2 linked regions of the Bombyx mori genome follow. The protein of the gene in region 2 interacts with the protein of the main gene of each other region in a biochemical or structural test. Links are inferred from orthologs where the notes say so. Each region holds a gene or a part of one and is shown on either strand. Other genes may lie near its edges.

Region 1 (11,474 bases), on a different chromosome or scaffold from region 2:
ATTTCAGATTATTCCCTTTAGCCCAGAGCCATTGTAACCATATTAGCACACGTTACATTCTTTACAACTAAAATTTTCTTTTCAAAAAGACCCATAATTTTTCATTGTAATTCTACTAACTACGTAATGATGTCTGTCATAGTGTTTAAACAAATTGTATAATTACGTGTTCCTTCTAGTGTGTTCTATAAAACTATTTTTTGTGTATTAATACTTAGTGGTGTTCTTAATATGTGCAATATTATATTTAAGACATAGAATGAAAAAAAATTATTGTTTTGTAAATAATAAAAATATATCTAAATTTTACAATTTATGTTGTGTTGTTTTTGTTATTATTGTTGACTAGCGACCCGCCCTCGCTTCGCTTCGGAAACTGTAATTTATTATTGATTTCTCCACTATTTAATGGATGTTATTATACATATAAACCTTCCTCTTCAATCACTCTATCTATTTAAAAAACCGCATCAAGCGCAACCGCGCGTTTTAAAGATTTAAGCATATATAGGGACAGAGAAAGCGACTTTGTTTTATACTGTGTAGTGATTATTAATTTCAGGTTTAGGGATGATCGATATTCATCGATGTTATGAGAATAAAATATCGAAACGTCCATAATATATCTTTTAGGGCCGTCTAACGGTGAATGTACTTTCTAGCTAGTGAGTTCCTAGGTAGTACAACTATTTTAAACTAGATGACACTGATTAACGCAATCGAAGCAAGCCGCACTACATAAATGTGTGTGAAAATAAGAAAATGTTAATTGTGAAGTGTGATGTCGGAGTCAAGTCCATTAATTAAACGCTTATAATCCGTAAAACGTAGTTTTAATTAATAAACACGCATAATAAATAAAATGGTTTTATTTCCTACCAAAAACATCGGTGTTTTTAAACATCGATATTTATCGTACATCGATACTTTTAAATCGATGTTTTTCTAATATCGAGCATCCCTATTCAGGATTATAAATGATTCATTCCGGAAGGGAGATACGCGCGGTCACTGTCCTCGTCGAACCCGTCGCTTGCAACGAAGGGCTCGACGAGCGAACTAACCCATAGACACAGCCCACTGAGTTTCTCGCCGGATCTTCTCAGTGGGTCGCGTTTCCGATCCGGTGGTAGATTCTGCGAAGCACTACTCTTGCTAGGGCCAGTGTTAGCAACACTCAGGTTTGAGCCTCGTGAGCTCACCTACATGTTACGGTGAAGAATAGCCTCTCAAGGCATCAGCATAGGTAGGAAAAAAAAGGAGATACGCGGATAGCGTCTCGCCTTTATAGCCTCCAGTGACCATATAGCGCTAGTAACTAAAAAGTTTAACACTAAAGCACTTACCATTTCGCCTGTTTACTCATCTACATAAACAAAAAACTGTTTATTTATCTATATATGAGTCGTCTATTATCAAAGGTGGCAATCTGTGCATTTGGACAAAAATTTTATTGATATTTCAATACAGATTGATTTGAATATAATCGTCTCCTTCAAAGAATACGGTTCAAAACCTGCATTAAATAAAGGTTAATACTTAACCTGTTATTTATCTAAGATGTCGTACAGAAGAGTTTTGTGACTGCCAATAATTCTTTTTTCTGATTTACCAATAATTATCCAAAAGTCACATTGCCGGCTTTGATAATAGTCGACTCATATAAGGTATTAATGTCACTAAAGGAGTAAATAATAATAATACCAGATGATTTGTATAAAACATGTTTTATTTTTATATTACATTTGAAACACGTTAGATTACAGAGTACCATTTATTATGATATTAAAGTTTTATTATCAATTGTCGTCTTCTTCGTCCGAAGCGCCGTTCTGTTGCGGTTCACCATCCATGTTAGCATCGCCCATACCTACGCAATAATTGTTATGTAGAATAGAAAAACCAGTGGTTATGTTTCTGAGCTGGGCATATAGTGTTACTTCGATCTAACATCTATACTAATATTATAAAGAGGAAAGATTTGTTTGTTTGTTTCGAATGGGCTCCGAAACTACTGGACCGATTTGAAAAATTCTTTTTCCATTAGAAGCCGACATTGTCCCTGATGAACATAGGCTACTTTTTAAAAAAAAATTTTAATTTTTTTTTTTTGGTTTCATTTGTGTTTTAATGTTTCCGAAGCGAAGCGAGGGCGGGTCGCTAGTTTATAGATAAAATTAAAAATTTCAAACTCTAATTACTTTAATAGTTGTCAATCTTTCGACAAGACTTTTAACACGGTTCACCGTCCATGTTAGCATCGCCCATACCTACACAATAATTATGTAGAAAAAGCGGTGGTTAGGTTTTGTTTCTGCGCTGGGCATATAGTATAATATACATCCATAACCCTGGAAAAGACATTTTATATTTATCATACAAACATCTTAACTTGGCGGGATTCGAACCCGCGATCCCCTTGTCTAGTGACCATGTCACTTACCACTACACCAGACAGTCTTTTTTTTCATTCGTTCATTCATTCATTCATATTTAGAAATACCTTGATCCTCGTCTTCCTCGGCCGAATCACCAGCGACTTCAGCGTTTTCAGCCTCAGCGCGTTCCATTTGTCGAGCCAACTCGGCCTCGTCTGTCGCTGTCACAACTTTAGGCTGTGGAAATGCTTATTGTACAGTAGTTATTTTTTTATTTTATTTATTAGGCACAAAATACACATCACAAGCTAAAAAAGTATATTAGTGAATGAGATCCAGTCACGTTTTTCTCAAGAAAGTAGCTGAAGTCGCTGTGGCCTGAAGGATAAGGACGCTCGATGCATTGGTATAGAGCGATGCAACAGTGTTCGAATCCCGCAGATAGGTATCAATTTTATTTTTTTTTGCCTATTCTAGCAACTTGATTTACTGAACTGGGTTATTCTAGATTCGCCGAACTAGTATCCGGAGGATCCGAAATCACGCGTAATGTTTCTAATGAAATACGTTCTTAATAAATCCTCACGATTGATTTCCACAACTGTTGTATTCTTTTTTATTGCTTAGTTGGGTGGACGAGCTCACAGCCCACCTGATGTTAACTGGTTACTGGAGCCTATAGACAACGTAAATGCGCCACCCACCTTGAGATATAAGTTCTAAGGTCTCAAGTATATCTACACTGTTGTACTGTAAAAGGCCTTAGAACTCATGTCTCAAGCTGAGTGGTGGTATTTAAGTTTTTGATGTCTATGGGCTCCGGTAACCACTTAAGACTAGGTAGGTCGAGGTCGTTCACCCATCTAAGCAATAAAAAATTACTCACGCGCCACCTATCGTTTGTTGGAGGTACTATATTGTATTGAACAAAAACTTTTTTGAGATGGAATTAATAACTATAGAGTTTCAAATAAATCAGACGGACCATATTCGCGCATTGAATACAAACTAACATAAGTACATATTTAATTTGATATATAAAAAAAAACATAGTTTATGTAATAAAATATCATACTGAACAGACAAGTTCAAAATTCACATACTATTAAATAGTTACTTGGCAGATGACTCGGAGGCTTTAATTCAAAATGTTTATTTATAAATTTAGCAATCTTTTTCATATTGAAACATATAGCTAAACCAATAAAGTTGTATAAATAGGAATTTGAGAATTTACCGCCATCTGAATGTTGAAGACTCCACCTGCTTCTGTGATGTTCTCTTGAATTTTGTCGATTGCGTCTTGTAATGCTTTGAGACCGTCAGTCTTCTCAGGAGTTGAGGTAGTCATTACTGTAAGAAACCTTAGTTAAATGATTATACTTTGCTTAGTGAGACATACAGTAATCAAGTTATGTAATAATTTTCGGTAGGCAGCGGCTTGGCTCTGTCCCTGGCATTGCTGAAGTCCATGAGCGACGGTAACCACTCACCATCAGGTGGGCCGTATGCTCGTCTGCCTACAAGGGCAATTCAGTTAAGAAAAAAAATCTTTAAATAGAGTTTTTCAAATTGTGAAATATATAGGCTCCGGTAAACACTTGACACTGGGTGAGCTCATTTATCCCTCTATACAATTAATGAAATTTAATAAAGAAATTTGTGTATACTAAAATTATACCTGCAGATTTCTACTATAAGTCTACCATTGTGGTTTGGAGTACATAATGACCAATATTTCTGTCCATCAATCATCTTCTTCTTGGACTTATCCTACAGTGTGATCAGAACATACTCTAAACTCCATACCCTTCTCTTGCATATTCTCTCAAATAGTCCATCCATCTTTCTAGGACATTCAAATCTTTTTAGGATGCGCTGTTATCATACACTATCATACACAAAGTATCTAGTGCAAATATATCTAAAAACGAAAATTAAATCAAACACTTACCATACAAAGGTGGGGCAATAAGATTAATTTTGATTGGCATGTCCACTGTAGACAGAGCTAGACCAGCTTTCAAAGCTGCTCGTACAGCATCAATGCCTTCATAACCATAGCAAGCACACTCAATGTCAGCACGAATCTTCACTGCTTGCGAGGTCAGTTTCCTTTTAATATTAGCTAAGAGGACATCCTTGGTTTCTTCATCTAAGCCACATTCATCGAGTACTGATGGGTCTCTGGAACATTAACATATTGCATAGAAACAACTTTCTTCTTGTTCCAATTAGGTAATATAGCACTTTTTATTTTGTGTATTAACATATTTCAATTTCACAAGATTAAGGTCAGTTCTTTTTCTCAAAATTAATGGTTCATAATATTTTCTTCAGTTTTCATAGTCATAGAGATAATTAAACTACCTAATTAGCCTACCTTCGGACTGGCAGCACAAATCTGTTAGACCAGGGGTTCCCAAACTTATTCTGTCTACTGCCCACTTTGAGAATTAATTATATTCTAGTGCCCCCGTTTTTTCATCTTCTTAAAAACCACTATAGAGAGAACTGAGTCTGTGTCTAAGAGTCCTCCTAGATGAAATTACAAATCACCTCCCAAGCCTCTACACACCCATTTTTTCTGGGTCTATTACCCTTTCGGCCTGCAGCGCTCACAAGGGGGCGTTATCGCCCACTTTGGGAAAGGCTGTGTTAGACAGTGCACTGAGCCACTGCAACACTCAAACTGTGTAAAGCTCAGTGTTTAGAGAAATTTGAGGGAAGGGTTACTCAAGGGTAACATATAGGAAGCCCTAGTAAATATATAAGTCACAAATACATAAGGTTGTGAGCAGCTGACTAGTACACAGTAATTCATGTCCTATTGAAGTGTGATAGTTTCTGAGTGCAGAGTGTGAGAGCTGAAGAAAGCAAAAGTAGTATTCATTCTACACTAAATTGACTTTTTGGTCCATTTGGACATAATGATAATTACACAAGCACCCTTTTTCTTTTTTTTTTCAGTCTGGGGGCCAAACCTCCTACGAAGCCCCCACAATTGGGGGTACATAAGCACCAACCTTATCATTTTAACTCAAGATGTACACTTACACAGCTGCTTGTTTGAAGAAGTCATATGCTGAGGCTTTCTTCTTATATTTCTCTTCAAAGTACCAAGCTGTTTTTTTATAAAGTTCTTCCAATTGCTCAGAAGTTTCATAATGGAGGAGCTCTGCTACATGTCGCAGGATCGAGTTTACTGCTTTTGCTTTTGCGTAGCGTTCTGTGCACTTGTATATATCTTCAGCAGATACACGACGTTTCGATAAGTCTATGTATCCTGTGAATTGAAGGAAATAACAAAATTAAAAGCGATCATTTGGAATATTGGTGATTGGTGCTAGTTTGTCATATCATATTTCAATTAAATGTGTACTTTGTTATTAATACAGAGAATGACATGTCAATATTAACCCATTGGCTTTGAGGACTGAGTGGATAAAACATTGATTTGATAAATTAGTTTATGACAATATTGGTTTGTTTAATTCCTGTTTTCCAAAGCACAAATGGTAATATTTTACTGAAGCGAAAAATGGAGTGCAATTTTATAAAAAAATTTATTATTATTTTAAACAATATCTAACCTTTTTCTTTGTCCACTCTGATTACGACAACCGGTTCAGTCTTTCCCACTCGGATCAATTTGTTAATGGATCTGATACGTCTTCTGGAAAGCTCAGATAGCAAGATCATGCCCTCTATATTATTGTATTCTAGAAGGTGGACGTATGCTCCCATCTCTGCGATGGATCTAACGTTCACCATCACCACATCTTCAACTTCCGGATATTTCTCTTGATAAAATCGACACGACAAAGGCATCTAGAATAATTTGATTTTATTATAACCTATGTGAAAAGTTTGTGTCACAAATTCTGGTATTTACTATTGAGAATATTTATAACCTATATGAAAACTTTGTGTCACAAATTCTGGTATTAATTATTGAGAATACAGTATTAATTTACCTTGTGTATTTATTTAATTCGTTTTTGTCTGTTAAATATTAGATAAAGAAAGAATATGATGAAACAGTCAACTTGTTCACGTTGACGAAATTCAGCGTTTGCTTCATGTCCTTCTGTCTGGGCTTGCGTTGTGTGACATCTGTCACAAATTAGAAAAAGTCAAAGTCTATTGTATCAACTTTGTTGAAATGTATTTGCGTGAAATGAAACGTAGCGGTAGTCGTGTCGTAAAGGTTGGGTGTTGGATGTTAAATACTAAGTGTATGATCCATTGTGTTGGTGTAGCGGGACTTGCAACAAAACCCGTTGACATATTTAAATTAGAATTTATTAATGTTCTCTGAAATTATCCGCTCAGCTCATATTCACCAGAAGTGGACTCAAGTTTAGGCCCGTAGAGGCAAGTTTAACGATGGCTAAAATGTAAAAAAGGGCATCTGATCGTAAAATATTGTATCAGGTCTCTTAAAAACCGTAATTGATGAATTTTTGGTCGAAGTTACGTTTAAAAAAGTTGGACTTTCATTAGTCATTATAACAATTGTATTGAATACATAATTAAATTACTGACCGACTTTCCTATTTCTGTTCAATAGAACAAAGTTTCCGCAATTGACTTTGAATATTCAATTGATCGTTATTGACTTGAACAATTTCAAATATATTTTTTAGTTGATGAAACGGGCGGTTCCTTTGGCCTACTTAGTGTTAGAGGTCAAGGGAGCCTCAAGGCACCCCAAAGTTACTGTTCCTGAGGTTTCTGGGCTCCAATAACGGCTTAATTATAAATGGACGTAGGTTCATTAGAGCATTAAAAATCCTTATGTGAGGTTTTATAAATAATAAAAGAAAATATTAAACGCACATATACTTGGCCTAATTCATTAAGCATACGTGCGTTATTTGTCACAACAATTAACATCAATTAAAACTCTTATGAACCTATCGCATTCCGCATACAATATGAAGATTACGTCTCGATTATTCCGGGAAGATAGCATATTTGTAAGCGTTCACGCATCCTTGACAATGTCATTTTACTATTGGCCATTTGCTAATTTACGCTGCAGCAAATTAGTATGGTCAGAAAAACAAATCTATAAACTATATGGATTTAATTTAGGTGTATAATAATAGTTATTCCAGTTCTGATCATGATGCGGAGAACTGTTTGAGATTTTTCTGTAATCTGTTTCTACAATCCCATAACCGGAGTAGTTAGACCGATTATTATTAGTATTTTACCGGTGGTAGGACCTCTTGTGAGTCCGCGCGAGCAGGTACCACCGCCCTGCCTATTTCTGCCGTGAAGCAATAATGCGTTTCGGTCTGAAGGATAGGGTAGCCGTTGTAACTATATTGAGATCTTAGAACTTATATCTCAAGGTGGGTGGCGCAATTACATTGTAGATGTCTATGGGCTCCAGTAACCACTTAAAAACAGGTGGGCTGTGAGCTCGTCCACCCATCTAAGCAATAAAAAAAATGGTTTCCAAAGATTGAGTACTCTGCCAGTACTGCCAGTCTCTGAAATGAACTTTGACTCTCGGTATTTCCTTTGCAATAGTTTATCACATTATTTATAAATGAATGTTTTAAAAACACCTTAGCGGTAGATGATGGTAATGAGGGGAGCTTAGTGAAATAGAGGAATTCACAGTATATTCGACTCGCTTTTTTCTGTTTTAGATGCAATCAGTGAAGTTTTATTTGTAGGCAGCGGCTTGACTCTGCCCCTGGCATTGCTGACGCCCATGAGCGACGGTAACCACTTACCATCAGCTGGGCCGTATCATCTGCCTACAAAGACAATAAAAAAAAAGTTTGAACACGAGCGCAAATCTATAAATTCCTATCTTCTTTTTCTATGAAATAATTCGAAATTAAATAACGCAACAAAATTTGTCGTATGTTTCATGTTAAACATCTTGCAATTGTAAGACATTAAAAACGCTGTCGAGTAGCGAATTAATTGAAATATATCACGGGGCGAACAAATCTTGGTGATAGTTCGATCAGTACGCGTCTTGTCCCCATACTTACTGTGCAACATTTAGCGAAATATGTTCATTTAACTAAATTAAAATGTATTTCTGGTAAGTTCAGCCATATTCTTTGCTTATAAGATATTGTATAGCGTATTCTTAATGTATTATGTTCTGAACGTCTCTTCCTTCTTCCAATAAATGTAAAAAAAAGAGTGAATTAATTTGTTTGGATTAGACCTAGTGTATAAAATCACGCATACATATTTTCTTCAAGTTGATTATAATTACAACAAACTTATCAGACAACAGTATTCTTTATCAAAAATATTTTAGGGTTCGAAAATACTGTGATTGTATTATATGAAATTTTTAATAAATATAAAATAGAATTATCTATGACAGTAAAATATCGTTTCGCGCCTTTTTTGTTATTGCTATTAAAAGTATGGTTACCTTACGTTACAACATGTTAAATATACTACACTATACTGTTTATTATAGTTACATTAGCATTATATTTACCGAGAATGAATCTGAATGATACAATTTGTGAAGAACTAATTATATGAATCACATTGTAAAGTTGAAATTCATAATTTAACCGTTTTACATTTCGTTACATTGTCTCTTGAAATTACGTAGTTTTCCTTGATTACTCACTCACTTAATAATTATTACAGCTGTAAAAGCTGAATTCATTGAGCGACCACTTCTCTGACGTTTTTAGTAATTTGTGTTTTTCTGGACGTGATTGTGAGTAATGTATTAATTGCTGAGCCATTTGATTTAAGCCGTCAGAGACCTAATTATAGACGATATGTACACCATGATAATATACGTGAAATATACGATTATCGAATAAATAGTCGAAGGTCCTATTGCGAATTGCAATGTGGAATGTTTCGAATTAAATTATCTCTTGATAAGAAAAGCGCAAATTGTATTTTACGGTTATGAAAGCACTCTCAATAATAGCAACAGTCTTCGTTTTCGAAATTCGGCTTGAATACTGTGTGGTAACGTTTGAACGAAGATTTAACCGCCACAAAACAGATACACATGAAAATATAGGCGGCCATATTGTTTCCGTCTTGTAAAAGAAATCTCAAATTTTATTACATAACTTTACGTTACTTTTTTATAATATAATACTTTTATTAAAGTTTAAATTTATGTAGTTACTATTGTATAATGATTTTGATAAATTAAAATCTATGGTAATAAGTTCTAATGAATATTAGAATACAAGGAGGAGCTTTAGTTTCTTTAATAGAATAAAAACTTTGTATGGACGGTTTCGTCATAATATCAACTGCAAAATATTCTCTACCTACTTAATAAATCAAATTTTAATAAATACAAAACAACCAGTCCTTCGTTCTTTTTTGTAAACATACACATCAAATTGGCCATCAAATCGATTGACTGTTGTACAAAAGTTCATCGTTGTTCGCACGTGAGCTGTGAAACGAAGCGATATAAAAAAATAATAATTTGGATTGTTTAAAATGCTTTGAATTACAAACATAAACGAAGTGTAATGAAACTTTTAAAACGTCTTTCATAACGAAGGAACAAATCGAATTGTTGGTGAGTGGTCGCTACCGCTCATGGACATCAGCGATGCCAGAGACAAAACATCTAACAGCTAATTTATAAAAAAAAAATAGGACGTGAACTTTCACATCGGCGAATAATCGATATCATATTTGCAAACTACCGCCGATATTAATGTTTTGTGATACTAAGTAAATGAATGCTGCCGATAAGAGATTGCTAAGGTTCATTATCATCCATACACATCCCACAGACATCCACTGCTGGACATAGTTTTCCCTAAAGTTCACCATAATGACTGGTTCTGCGCATCCTGTGGATTCCTACGACTTCTAACAAACCATCGATCCACCTCGTGGAAGGCTAAGGTTAAAATAGGTTATATTAAGAAGCTCTTCAATAAGGACTCTTCAATAAAGAGGAAGGATTTTAATACATTAATATTAAAAAGATATATTGTGTTGTTGACTAATGTTATCTTTCTCCGAAGCTAATTTAGCGGCTTTCTGAGGAGTAGATCGTAGTTTAATTAGTCATGTTATGATTAATCTAAGCAAAAGAGTTATGATACTATATTATGAGTAAGTTAAACAAAACAATAAAAATTTTAGTTACATTATTTTCTTGGATGCTATAGGAAAATATTTATGATTATTTTCTTGCAGATAATGATTAAAAACAAAATGTAGGTTGATCCAAATCAATTGAAATTATAAAATTATTAAACTGTCATCGGTACTTGATGCGTGTGCAAATTTTCAAGTTACTCATACTTGTTGAAGTCCGTGAAAATGTCGTTCAAATATTCGTTATAAACAAACATGTACACTTACAACACTAATAAAAACATGTTGTTAAGTAAACTTGGTTACGATTTCTATGGTTTTTACGATTTTGTTCGCATCGATTTGCCATATTTACCTTGACCTTAAAACTGGTGGCGTAATTAAAACGTACTAAAACAAGGTTGCGAGTTTAAGCTCCAGTGCGTATGGGCACACAACTAGGTCGCAAAGCCGGTTTTGTACAGTTCAATTATTTATTGACCTATTATTTTATTGAGATTCGATGTATGAAGTAGGTCGTCTGATGTTTCAATATGGACGAGGTCGCATACGTCAATACTGAAAGAAATATCATTGGGGCCGCTCGACCAAGCTATTGCGAATTTAAATTATGAACAAAAAAAATTCATCTAAGATATTTCGATCTAAATTACATAGGGCTATTTGAAATTCGTAGTTAGTCTCATAATGTGACAGTTAATGAAGTTCTTTTAACATAAAAAATGTCATACAATATGTATTCTTGCCATTACGAATTACTTTCAGTTCCGTGTGATAATTAAATTTGAAACCTCTTCAGGTTATATTTAACGTTTATTATTTAACATGGAATATTTGGTGCGTCCTGTCTATTTCGGCCTATAGAATATGATACAGATTTATTCAGGACTACCCGTACTCGCCCGCTTCGCTGCGCATTTAAAATTAACATTATTATCTACTGTCATTATTATTAGGGAGTCTAACACTCATATAAATATTAGCCTATCCATTAAGTAGATGTATTTT
Region 2 (10,265 bases):
GTTTCAAAATTAAAATTTTGGTCATATAGCTCTAATCTGAAAAAAGTAAAATAACACATTAGTTGGTAGGTAATGTGTGTATTAAGAGCAATTCTTTTTGCACATGCTACAAAGAATAAAGTTCCTAAGGTACACAATTTAATATTATTATAATAGCTACCGGAAACAGTTTGAGAGAAGTCTTCTAAGTTAAAATAAAACATCAACATTGTACCTTTCGACAAAATCCACTTTTTTTCCTCTTAAAGATGCACCACGTTTTCTCAACTCCTCCTTCAATTCTTTAACTATTCAGTTGGATACATGTTGTAAAACTGTTTAGCACTACTTAGAAAGTAATAAGAACCGTATCAAAGTCACAAAATGCCGAAATATCACGAACGCAAAACACACAAAATGGCGGCTCTCTGTGACAAGGGAACAAGCTACGCTGGCGACATCTGAGAAAAGCTTTAACCGGCCAACCCCTAGAATTTCATCACGAAATTTCTGCTTATAAGTTTTCTTTTTTTCGGCGTAGTGCCTTCGTCGTCGCTTCCACGAGCCGACATTTTTAATGATATGTAACGGACGTCACGTCAGCTGGCATGCCCTGCCGCCAGCCAAGCCGCCAAGCCATGTTATAAGTTTATTGCACTTGGCTGAATTCAGACGTTAGAATTCAGAAGCAAATTTAGAAGCTTCTGGTTACACTATTCTAAATTCAGTTACTGAATCAATTGTCAGTTTAAACGCGACGAAGTAAGACGTGTCGTGTGCGTAAGAGGATGGCCCCAGTATTGTTAAACAACAATTTTTTTGTTTTTGTTTTTATGTTTTTTTTCAATTTCTCAAAATAAAAAGAAATAAAAACAAGAATATCGGTGAAGAAATATTTATTGCTGTGCGGAGTGTTAGCAAATATGAACATTATGAGTGATTTAGAACCAGCAGACTTCAGAAAATATCTATAAATGGATTCGATCTCGTTTGACCTAATATTAAACCTTGTGACACCGTTTATTCAAAAGCAGAGTACTATCCTACGATCGTCTATTATATATCTATTACATATTTAATTCTACGATAGTATAAGTCCAAAAGAAAGATTGGTTGTAACATTAAGATTTCTTGCAACAGGAAATTCGTATACTTAAAGATTTAAAATTTAGTTCTTCAATATCCCAACCCCTGAACAATAATAAGACAAATCATGGGTGTGGGGCCGTGAACAAAACGAGAGTTTCGAACAACTGGAAAACCGTTATGCGCCAAACCTACGCTAGCTTTGTATGATCCTATGCTTTCTATGGAAATACATACCGATGAGTGTATATTAGGAATTGCTAATATGCTATTACAAAAACAAACTGACAACTCTACTTCTGAGGTTATAAAAACTTCACATTAAGGCCCTATAAAAGTATAGCCCATATGTCCGATAGCGCTAGTAGTTCCGATGAGCAGCTCGAAACTGAAGACCTTATTGATTTATTATTATTATTATTATTATTTTTTATTGCTTAGATGGATGGATGAGCTCACAGCCCACCTGATGTTAAGTGGTTACTGGAACCCATAGACATCTACAACGTAAATGCGCCACCCACCTCGAGATATAAGTTCTAAGGTCTCAGTATACTTACAACGGCTACCCCACTCTTCGAACCGAAACGCATTACTGCTTCACGGCGGAAACAGGCGGGGTGGTGGTACCTACCCATGCGGACTCCCAAGAGGTCCGACCACCAGTGATTACGCAAATTATAATTTTGCGGGTTTGATTTTTATTACACGATGTTATTCCTTCACCGTGGAAGTCAGTCGTGAACATTTGTCGAGTACGTATTTCATTAGAAAAATTGGTACCCGCCTGCGGGATTCGAACACCGGTGCATTGCTTCATACGAATGCACCGGACGTCTTATCCTTTAGGCCACGACGACTTTTAGAGAGCTAAATGTTTTTGTGTGTTCCCCATTGCGGGAGCAATTGTTGCAGGATAGCCGAATGTAACGGACGTGACGTCAGCTGTCATGCCCTGCCGCCAGCTAAGCCGCCAAGCCATGTTAACACTCCCCCTTCTGCGCCACTGCCGCTAGCCAAAGCCAACGAAGGGGGGATAGTGTTAATAAAACAAGCCATGCCGGCCATTTCTACCTGCTTTCTGCTTTCTTGCACAAATAAAAGAACTTGTCGTTACGCTGCTGGTTTTTTTTGTCACATCATTTGCAACAGATAATTTTAAAAGTTATAAGTACTAATTATAATACAATTAATCCGAACAATCTAGCCACTGTTTCAAAATGAGCACTTTAATGTAACGTTATAAACTTACTTACTACTATCCGCAACATTACAAGGGTAACATACAGTAAACAAAGAATATGCTAAATGTAATCATCTCAATTTTGTCAAATAATAGTTATTTATAATCTATTCCCCGTTCTGTGGGAATTCCCCGGCCCAAGAGGTAGGTAATGCTTGAATAATAACACAGTGCAGTTCGTTTCACGCAATTAATGGTGAATCTTCTTTTCGGTGGTTAATATTAAAAGTAACTAGTTACCTTTACTAACATTAACTGCATTGTTCACCATAGATAATAGTACCTACACTATATTTAATGTTAGTTCACTTTGATGTACATACCTTGAAATTATGGCTTGAGATGCCCTGTATCAGTTAATATACTATATATAGGTCTACGGGTAATACTGATCAAAAAACTGAAAGGACAAATAGTGTTGTCTATAAATGTCTCTAATTTAATCTATAAAAGGTCATTTTATTTCTCATTCTATTATCTTAACTTCTTATCACTTGTTTATTCGAAACTTTAAATAGGTATTTAGTTATCGCAATACTTACGAATTTAAGGAAGATTTTTTTAACCCGACCAATTTCACATCTTAGTTCATTGGATTCGTTTGAAATCAAAATCGAAGTGGCAGTGCAAATTTCAAACCACATTCATCATTCTTCAACTACTTTCAACATTACATAGTGCAGATGTACCTAAAATAGTGCAGACAAGTTACTCTATCGAATAATTAAAACGCTATACAGTGTTACCCTTATCTAGTAAATATCTTTTATATATTGTGTACCGGACTGGTACATAATTATAGGGAACTTAAAACTGGTAAATTGTTTATCTGTTACTCTAGTGATTTAAAATTGTAAAAAAGATTAAAAAGAAGAATAAGGGGAACAATTAACTTACAAAGAAATGGCTTCTGCAGAACTCACAAGTTTGGATGAAGTAATATCAAATTCATTAAAGGGTAAAGAACTAGAAGAGTTTAATAGAATTCACTATGGAAGAATAGACCAATGTGCTTTGTTTATCAGTTCCGTTGCTGCCCAAAAAGCCGCTAGCAATGGATTTGAAATAAAAGCTTATGATTTTCCTGCAAGAAAAGAAGAATGCAGGAAACCTCGCATTGTAAGATTAGGCCTCATACAACATTCTATTGCTATCTCTACTGATAACCCAATTACTCAACAACGACTAGCTATATTCGAAAAGGTTCAAAAGATCATATCTGCTGCAGCTGCAGAGCAAGTTAATATTCTTTGTTTACAAGAAGCTTGGAACATGCCCTTTGCATTTTGTACAAGAGAAAAGCAACCATGGTGTGACTTTGCAGAACCTGTGTTGACTGGCCCTAGCACAGTTTTTTTAGCAGAGCTTGCAGTGAAGTATGACATGGTTATCATATCTCCAATTTTAGAACGAGATGATATTCATGGAGATACTATTTGGAATACAGCAGTAGTTATCAATGAATTTGGAAAGGTAATAGGAAAACACCGTAAAAACCACATTCCAAGGGTTGGAGATTTCAATGAATCTACATATTATTTTGAAGGTAATACTGGTCATCCAGTATTTGAAACAAAATATGGTAAAGTTGCCATCAATATTTGCTATGGTCGTCACCATCCACTAAACTGGCTAATGTTTGGTATCAATGGTGCTGAAATTGTATTTAACCCATCAGCAACAGTTTCAGGTTTAAGTGAACATTTGTGGGCAGTTGAAGCTCGCAATGCAGCTATAGCCAACAGTTATTATACATGTGCTATAAACAGAGTAGGAACTGAATCATTCCCAAATGAATTTACATCTGGAGATGGAAAACCAGCACATAAAGATTTTGGACACTTCTATGGTTCTAGCTATGTGACAGCACCTGATGGTAGCAGAACTCCAGGCCTGTCTCGAATTAAGGATGGTTTACTTATTGCCCAAGTTGATCTAAACTTGTGTCGCCAAATTAAAGACAAGTGGGGATTCACTATGACTCAACGCCTTGACTTATATGCTCAAAGTCTAAATGAAGCTATAAAGCATGATTATGTACCTCAAGTGGTACACAAGTAATAAAGATTCAATTTACCAATCATGAATCCTACAATTTTATTATAGTGTTACTGAACAGATCTGTTAATATTGTTAATTCTGCTAAATTTAAACTCTGTTTTAGTCTACTTTAATTTTTAGACATAATTGGTGTTTCACTGCATTACAGACTTTAATAAAGATTGTTAATTGTTAGAAAATGTTTTATTATATGCAATAGATTAAAATAAAACAATATTTTATAAAACATTGTGTATCAATGAGAATAATACAGATGTGAGTTATACATAAATATAGGGATTCAATTGGGACACATTTGATAAAAATAAATATGTATTTCACATTGTGTTGTCAACACCTGGGTTACTGTACTATGTTTATTGAAACTGAGGACCACAACATGTGCTGAATTCATTTGAAATTGCCTAATTTGTTTATTATTAATTACTACAATAATGCTTAGCTTGTCATGTTGGCTGAGGTTGACAGATATAAAAACACAATCTACTATTAAAAATTACCACATGTACCCCAAACCATTACTGTAAAATTAGTTAATCACTAAGCACTAATTTTCTATGCAGTCTTTGCACGGATGGCAGCACGCTTGCCAGTCACAGCTTGGAAACCAGATTTAATGCTAGCCACTGAACAACGAGACCCACATGTCTCACATTGAAGGAAGAATAATCTAGTATCTTTCTGTAAAATTGTATCAGGGGAGCGGCATGTATGACATGTTACATACTCTTTTATATACCGACGTAAAACATTCTCTATCTGTTTTTGTTGGAAGCGACCTTTGATAATTAGTTGACTGTTTCCATCCACTGAACCACTAGTACCCAATTCCGCCAGAAGAAAATCCAACAAATGCTTGGCCTGCCGATGCAAAGTTTTACAAATTTCCGTAAAATTGGCAAAGGAGGTTTTCTTTGTACCAATTCGGACTACTTGGGGTGGTCTCATTATGAACTTTTGCTTTTTACCAGATACCATGCTTGGGTTCTTTTCCCGCATAATATCAAAAACTCGTTCTAGAAGTTCGTCATATGAGTAATCATGATCACTTCCAACCCATTCACCGTGCTCATCTTCCACATTTTCTTGATCTTCTCCTCTGACATCTTCTTCTGTGACCAGTTCATCTACATTTTTATCCTTCTTCCTCTTTTTCTTTTTCGTCTTAGTGAAATCTATATCCAAATCTAGATCATCCATTACTTCGTCTTCCTGCGCTTCCGGTTCTTCGGTTGGCGGTGTTTCAGGCAAGGCATTTTCTAATTCTCCGAGATTGAAAAACGTCTTCTTCTTTTTCTTTTTCTTTTTGCCAAAATTGTCTAAATCGAGGTTATCGTCTTCGGGCGCGTCGACGTCACCTGTATCTGCGGGTGTCTCCATACTCGTGCTCTCACCTTGCTCACCAGCAAGAGCAGCTTCTAAATCAAAACCAGTCTTCTTTTTCTTTTTCTTCTTCAACGAAGGATCAAATATCATATCGTCGTCCATGTTTACTAAAAGGCGTTGTTCTCGTAAAGGAAACTAAATTTTTGGTTAGAATATGAGACGATTGAGCAGTATTGTAGAAGGCTAATGTCAAAATAATGTCAAAAAGTTGCATCAGATTCGTCGTTCAAAAATGTACCGTACCGTAATTTTTTTTTCTCTCGCAATTACTGACGTCTATGATATCTAGGCTTCTTTTAGTAGTCGTGTCTATACATAAACTAATATTTTGTATGGAGGGATGGCAACCGGGGATTGAGTCAGCTGACCAATAAATCATATTTAGATAGTAGAAAATCAAGATTCTATTAGAATGCAAGCATAAAATATTTACAATTATTTTTGATTCTGGTGCTTTACTCGTAAAGTACTATAAAATCTACTGGAGCATTGAGTTGATTTGTGGCTAAAGTCGCAACAGGAGAGAAGCAGGGCGGAGCTTAGAGTATATCATTTTGGAAGGTAGATTTTTTTCCTTCCGGAAAGAGTGAGTCACCTCTCCTACTTATGGAAAGTAGAAGAGGTGACTCAACCCAAATGACTATCACATTCATGAAACTGAATTAATTAATTATCAATATCGCACAAATAAGAACAAAACGTTAAAGAACTGTTTGTGATATATTTGATGATTTGATTTAAATGATGTATTATTTCTAAACTTTCAATGTAAAATAAAACAATTGAGTACCTTAAGACGATCTTAAACATTTAGCATTGAGTACCGTACTGTTTAGGTACTACTCTCAAATAAAGAGAATACATAAAAATTGTTCTAATTCTCAAAGAGTTTAGAGTTTAGAGCATAGATTATACATTTAATATGTTTAGAGATGATTTAGTCTGTATTACTGTGTATATCTGTCAAAGTCTCAAAAAGTCAGTCAAAGTCAAAGTCAAATTAACCTAAAATTAGTCAAAACGTCTAGTTTCCAAAAATAAAATAAGCAAATCAATTACCAATTTCATACTTTAAAAAAAATTAAATATAATTAAAAATTAAAAATAATTAAATTTTTATCGCCACTTTCTCTTAGGAGATATCTACATAAACTAAGAAACAAATAACTCAATAGGAATTCTGATTTATGGGTATATCGAATTGCAATTCGATATGCATATAATTAAATTACACCGATCATTATTGAAAATAAAGAATGCCATTCCAAGATACTCTACTATTACGGCTCTTGAAGAAAGTGAATACACCGAGACACCGGAGTATCCCCCTATACTGGATATGACTCGGGAAGGAAAATTATTGCGTCGAAGACAAAGTTTTCAAAGCAAAATACAAGAACTAAACACGATAGAAGAGAAACAAATAGCCTTAAATATGCCTCGTTATTATGGATGGCAGTGTATAATGTTGAACAATGATAAAGTTCCGTACAACGCAATGCCCTTAGTACAGTATTATACTAGGAGTCATTTCATACCGGTCGCTAAACTTCCGGAAGCATACAATGAAATCGAACAACAAGCTAGTAATATTCTTCAAGAAATCAAACCACAAATAGAAGATGCCATAGCTATTGAATTAACTGATGTTGAGTAAGTAATTGAAATTAGTTTAAAGTATAATTGTCAATTTACGCAATTGGAAAGAAACATGACATTGATTACACAAAAATATTTAGTTGGTTTGGTTTGGTTAAACTAAAATGCCTACTTGATATTGACTACTTGATACCTTCACAACAAGATCAAATGTGTGTTGTTTGATTAATTTATAAACCTAGATACAAGCTTAAGTTTATTATTAATTTATCAAGCATTTAAAAAAAATTTCAGGAGGAACTTCAAATTCTTACAAGATAAATCTATAAAAATGCAACAAGAAGATACAATTACAAAATGTGTTGTGAGACAAATAAACAGAATTATAATGAACAATCTCAGTGATAACTTGCCTCATATTTTGTCAACACAGGTATTTGATTTAATAATTACTTAGCATACATGGAAACTTTAGACCAAGGCGACATATCAAGGATAACAAATTATTGTTATCCTAGTCTATACTAGGATAACAATAATTTTATGGGTAACTTTTTATAAGTAAAGGTTATGTTATGAGCATGTTAAAACATGCTCCTATAATTACAACTACTGTCAGAGAGATAAAATTTTTCTAATGTATATTTGTTCAGAATGACATTATACACCGTCCACAGGGACAGATGTGGCAAATTTAATTAATATTTAATTGAAACATGCTTTATCAATAGTATATTTAACAATCCTTCAATTTTTTCTTCAATTTTCCATATCAAAAGAGAATATTATAAAACAAAAATCTCCAAATCACTTTACCAATGATATCTATTGTATGGTATATTGTCTGTTACGTAATTTGAGATTGTGTATTGTAATAAGATTCTTAGAATATATAGTAGGCAAATGAGCAGTTTTGAGTAAATAAGCATCTCCAAATTTCATAATACTTTTAGCAAAAACCGTGTATAGTTGGGGATAATGAATTGAGAGCTTATGGAAATTCTTGGACTATTGTTATACTTTTCCTCCAGCATCCTTGAATCCATTCTAAACTACCTATTTGATTTTACCTACCTGTTTTTTTTTTATTCTAAGAAATACTTATATAATTTAAAAAAAAGTCTGAAATAGTTTGAAATCTATGATCTTGCTATTTTACTATGCATAGCTGGCAATATATTCTTAATTAAAATGAGGAACTGGATACTATAATGGACAAGCTCAAGTCTAGCATAATTGATTACATGTATTGCCAATGTAAATTTACTAAGTTTTTTTTATTAATGAATGTCATTGTAGACAGATGAGCAAATGCACCATACAGTGAGTGGTTACCATCGCTCATGAAAGTCAGCAGTGTGGGGCCATTGCCAAGCTGTTGCCTTCTGATACTATAAATATATAAAGAATGCAATATCAACTGATTCTAGCTGTGCAAGTTGATTATCCAGTTAATTGCTGTTCTATTCACATGATGTTTTTAAGTTATTTTTCAATGCTGGAGAAATTTGTTTTGTCTAATGCCAGTTCTAGATCATTGAAGGTATTTGATTTTATCTTGAATTGTCCTCTTTTTTTCTTGAAATGTGAATTTTATTTTTTTACAATAATTTGCATATATCTATAAGGTATTTTTCTGTCATTTGCGAAATTAATTCATTTCTTTAACTATGAAGTGATAGGAAATGTTATTCATGGACGTACGGTTCTTACTGTAATTCAGACCTGCCATATCTACTTCTGCCGTTCAGCAGTTCTGCATTATGCTCTAGAAAATAGGTGACCATTAACACAGCTTAAACAATCATAATTATTATTTATTACAGATTGATTATGATGCTCGTCATGAAGCATTTTGGCATATTGGTGGTGTTGATCCCCCGACCACAACAGTAAAATGGCGAAAAGAAAATAAATGGCCAAAAAGTACACATTATGAAAGTACAGATAGGCCTGTGCAATATATTGGTAAGAATAAAAAAAATTCAATAGCAACGTAAAAATTAAATAACAATTAAAACTTGATCACATACTTTAATTCAAAGGTAAAAGTGTAATAGTTTTTTTGTTTGCCTATCAAAGCGTAACAGATCAACTTAACTATTTTATGCAGAGTTCCATGTGCTACAAAGCTAGTAGCAAAGCTACCACATCTGCAAGGCACTAGCTACTCTTGACTTGTTAACTGTCCTTTGGAGCTCTGAGCTCGGGCGGCTGTTACTAAATCCCGCCTCTCCTGGCTGAGCCTTTCCTCACTCACCTGTCCTAGTGAAACTGGAAAGGCCACCAGTAATCCCTCATTCATAAAAAAGCAAAGCTGTATGTACATAGCATATTACTATACTATGTACTGTATAATAAGATTTCATTCCAGACAATTATTTCATTACTTTGTTTTATAGCTTTGTATTATCAAATTCTTGATACCAATTGCCAAAGTTATAAGAACACTTAGTATTTAAATATTTAAAAATTATATTTATTAATATGACTTTTATGTTTCTGCGTCTACCTATAAATAGTGGTCACTGACTACTTACCGTTAGGTGGTCTATAGACCATAATGAGGGTTTACGACCTTCGGTATTAAGGGAACGGGTGACGCTCATTTTAATGATATGAGATGAGTAGTATTATAATTTCACCTAAAGTACTATTAAAATTTATTTAAAAAGCTAATGACTAGACAAAAATAATTGAATTACCTAATTTTCAAACTAGGGTCACCAATACTAACTCTGAGAAATCGCCACCCACTAAAGCCGCTGATCCCATATAGTGAAGCAGAGAATCCGGCATTCAAAGTTGATAAGTTTACTACTATACCTGGCAGTGTTGGTTACTTTCGTGAATTTCGTCATGGAACTAATATACCAGGTACGTTCTTAATTTCGTTATCTAAATGTGCGAT

What was found.
Region 1: the proteins of eukaryotic translation initiation factor 2 subunit 2 (region 2) and eukaryotic translation initiation factor 2 alpha subunit form a complex in vitro, tested with the Homo sapiens proteins (2 studies listed by BioGRID and IntAct). The link is inferred for Bombyx mori from reciprocal best matches to the Homo sapiens genes EIF2S2 and EIF2S1.

The regions. Positions count from the first base shown.
Region 1 is NC_085126.1:6,526,840-6,538,313, forward strand, and holds eukaryotic translation initiation factor 2 alpha subunit, read right to left. Parts: upstream 6,518-11,474; 5' UTR 6,356-6,517; intron 6,210-6,355; coding exon 5,972-6,209; intron 5,665-5,971; coding exon 5,436-5,664; intron 4,566-5,435; coding exon 4,333-4,565; intron 3,732-4,332; coding exon 3,616-3,731; intron 2,616-3,615; coding exon 2,504-2,615; intron 2,271-2,503; coding exon of another isoform or gene 2,233-2,270; exon of another isoform or gene 1,871-2,232; coding exon 1,800-1,870; 3' UTR 1,712-1,799; downstream 1-1,711. Other genes in the region: collagen alpha-1(IX) chain, read left to right, coding at 8,441-8,451. UniProt on the Homo sapiens protein: Member of the eIF2 complex that functions in the early steps of protein synthesis by forming a ternary complex with GTP and initiator tRNA. This complex binds to a 40S ribosomal subunit, followed by mRNA binding to form a 43S pre-initiation complex (43S PIC).
Region 2 is NC_085127.1:8,435,291-8,445,555, forward strand, and holds eukaryotic translation initiation factor 2 subunit 2, read right to left. Parts: upstream 5,925-10,265; 5' UTR 5,858-5,924; coding exon 4,925-5,857; 3' UTR 4,879-4,924; downstream 1-4,878. Other genes in the region: beta-ureidopropionase, read left to right, coding at 3,212-4,369; large ribosomal subunit protein mL65, read left to right, coding at 6,969-7,408, 7,649-7,787, 9,181-9,322, 10,076-10,231.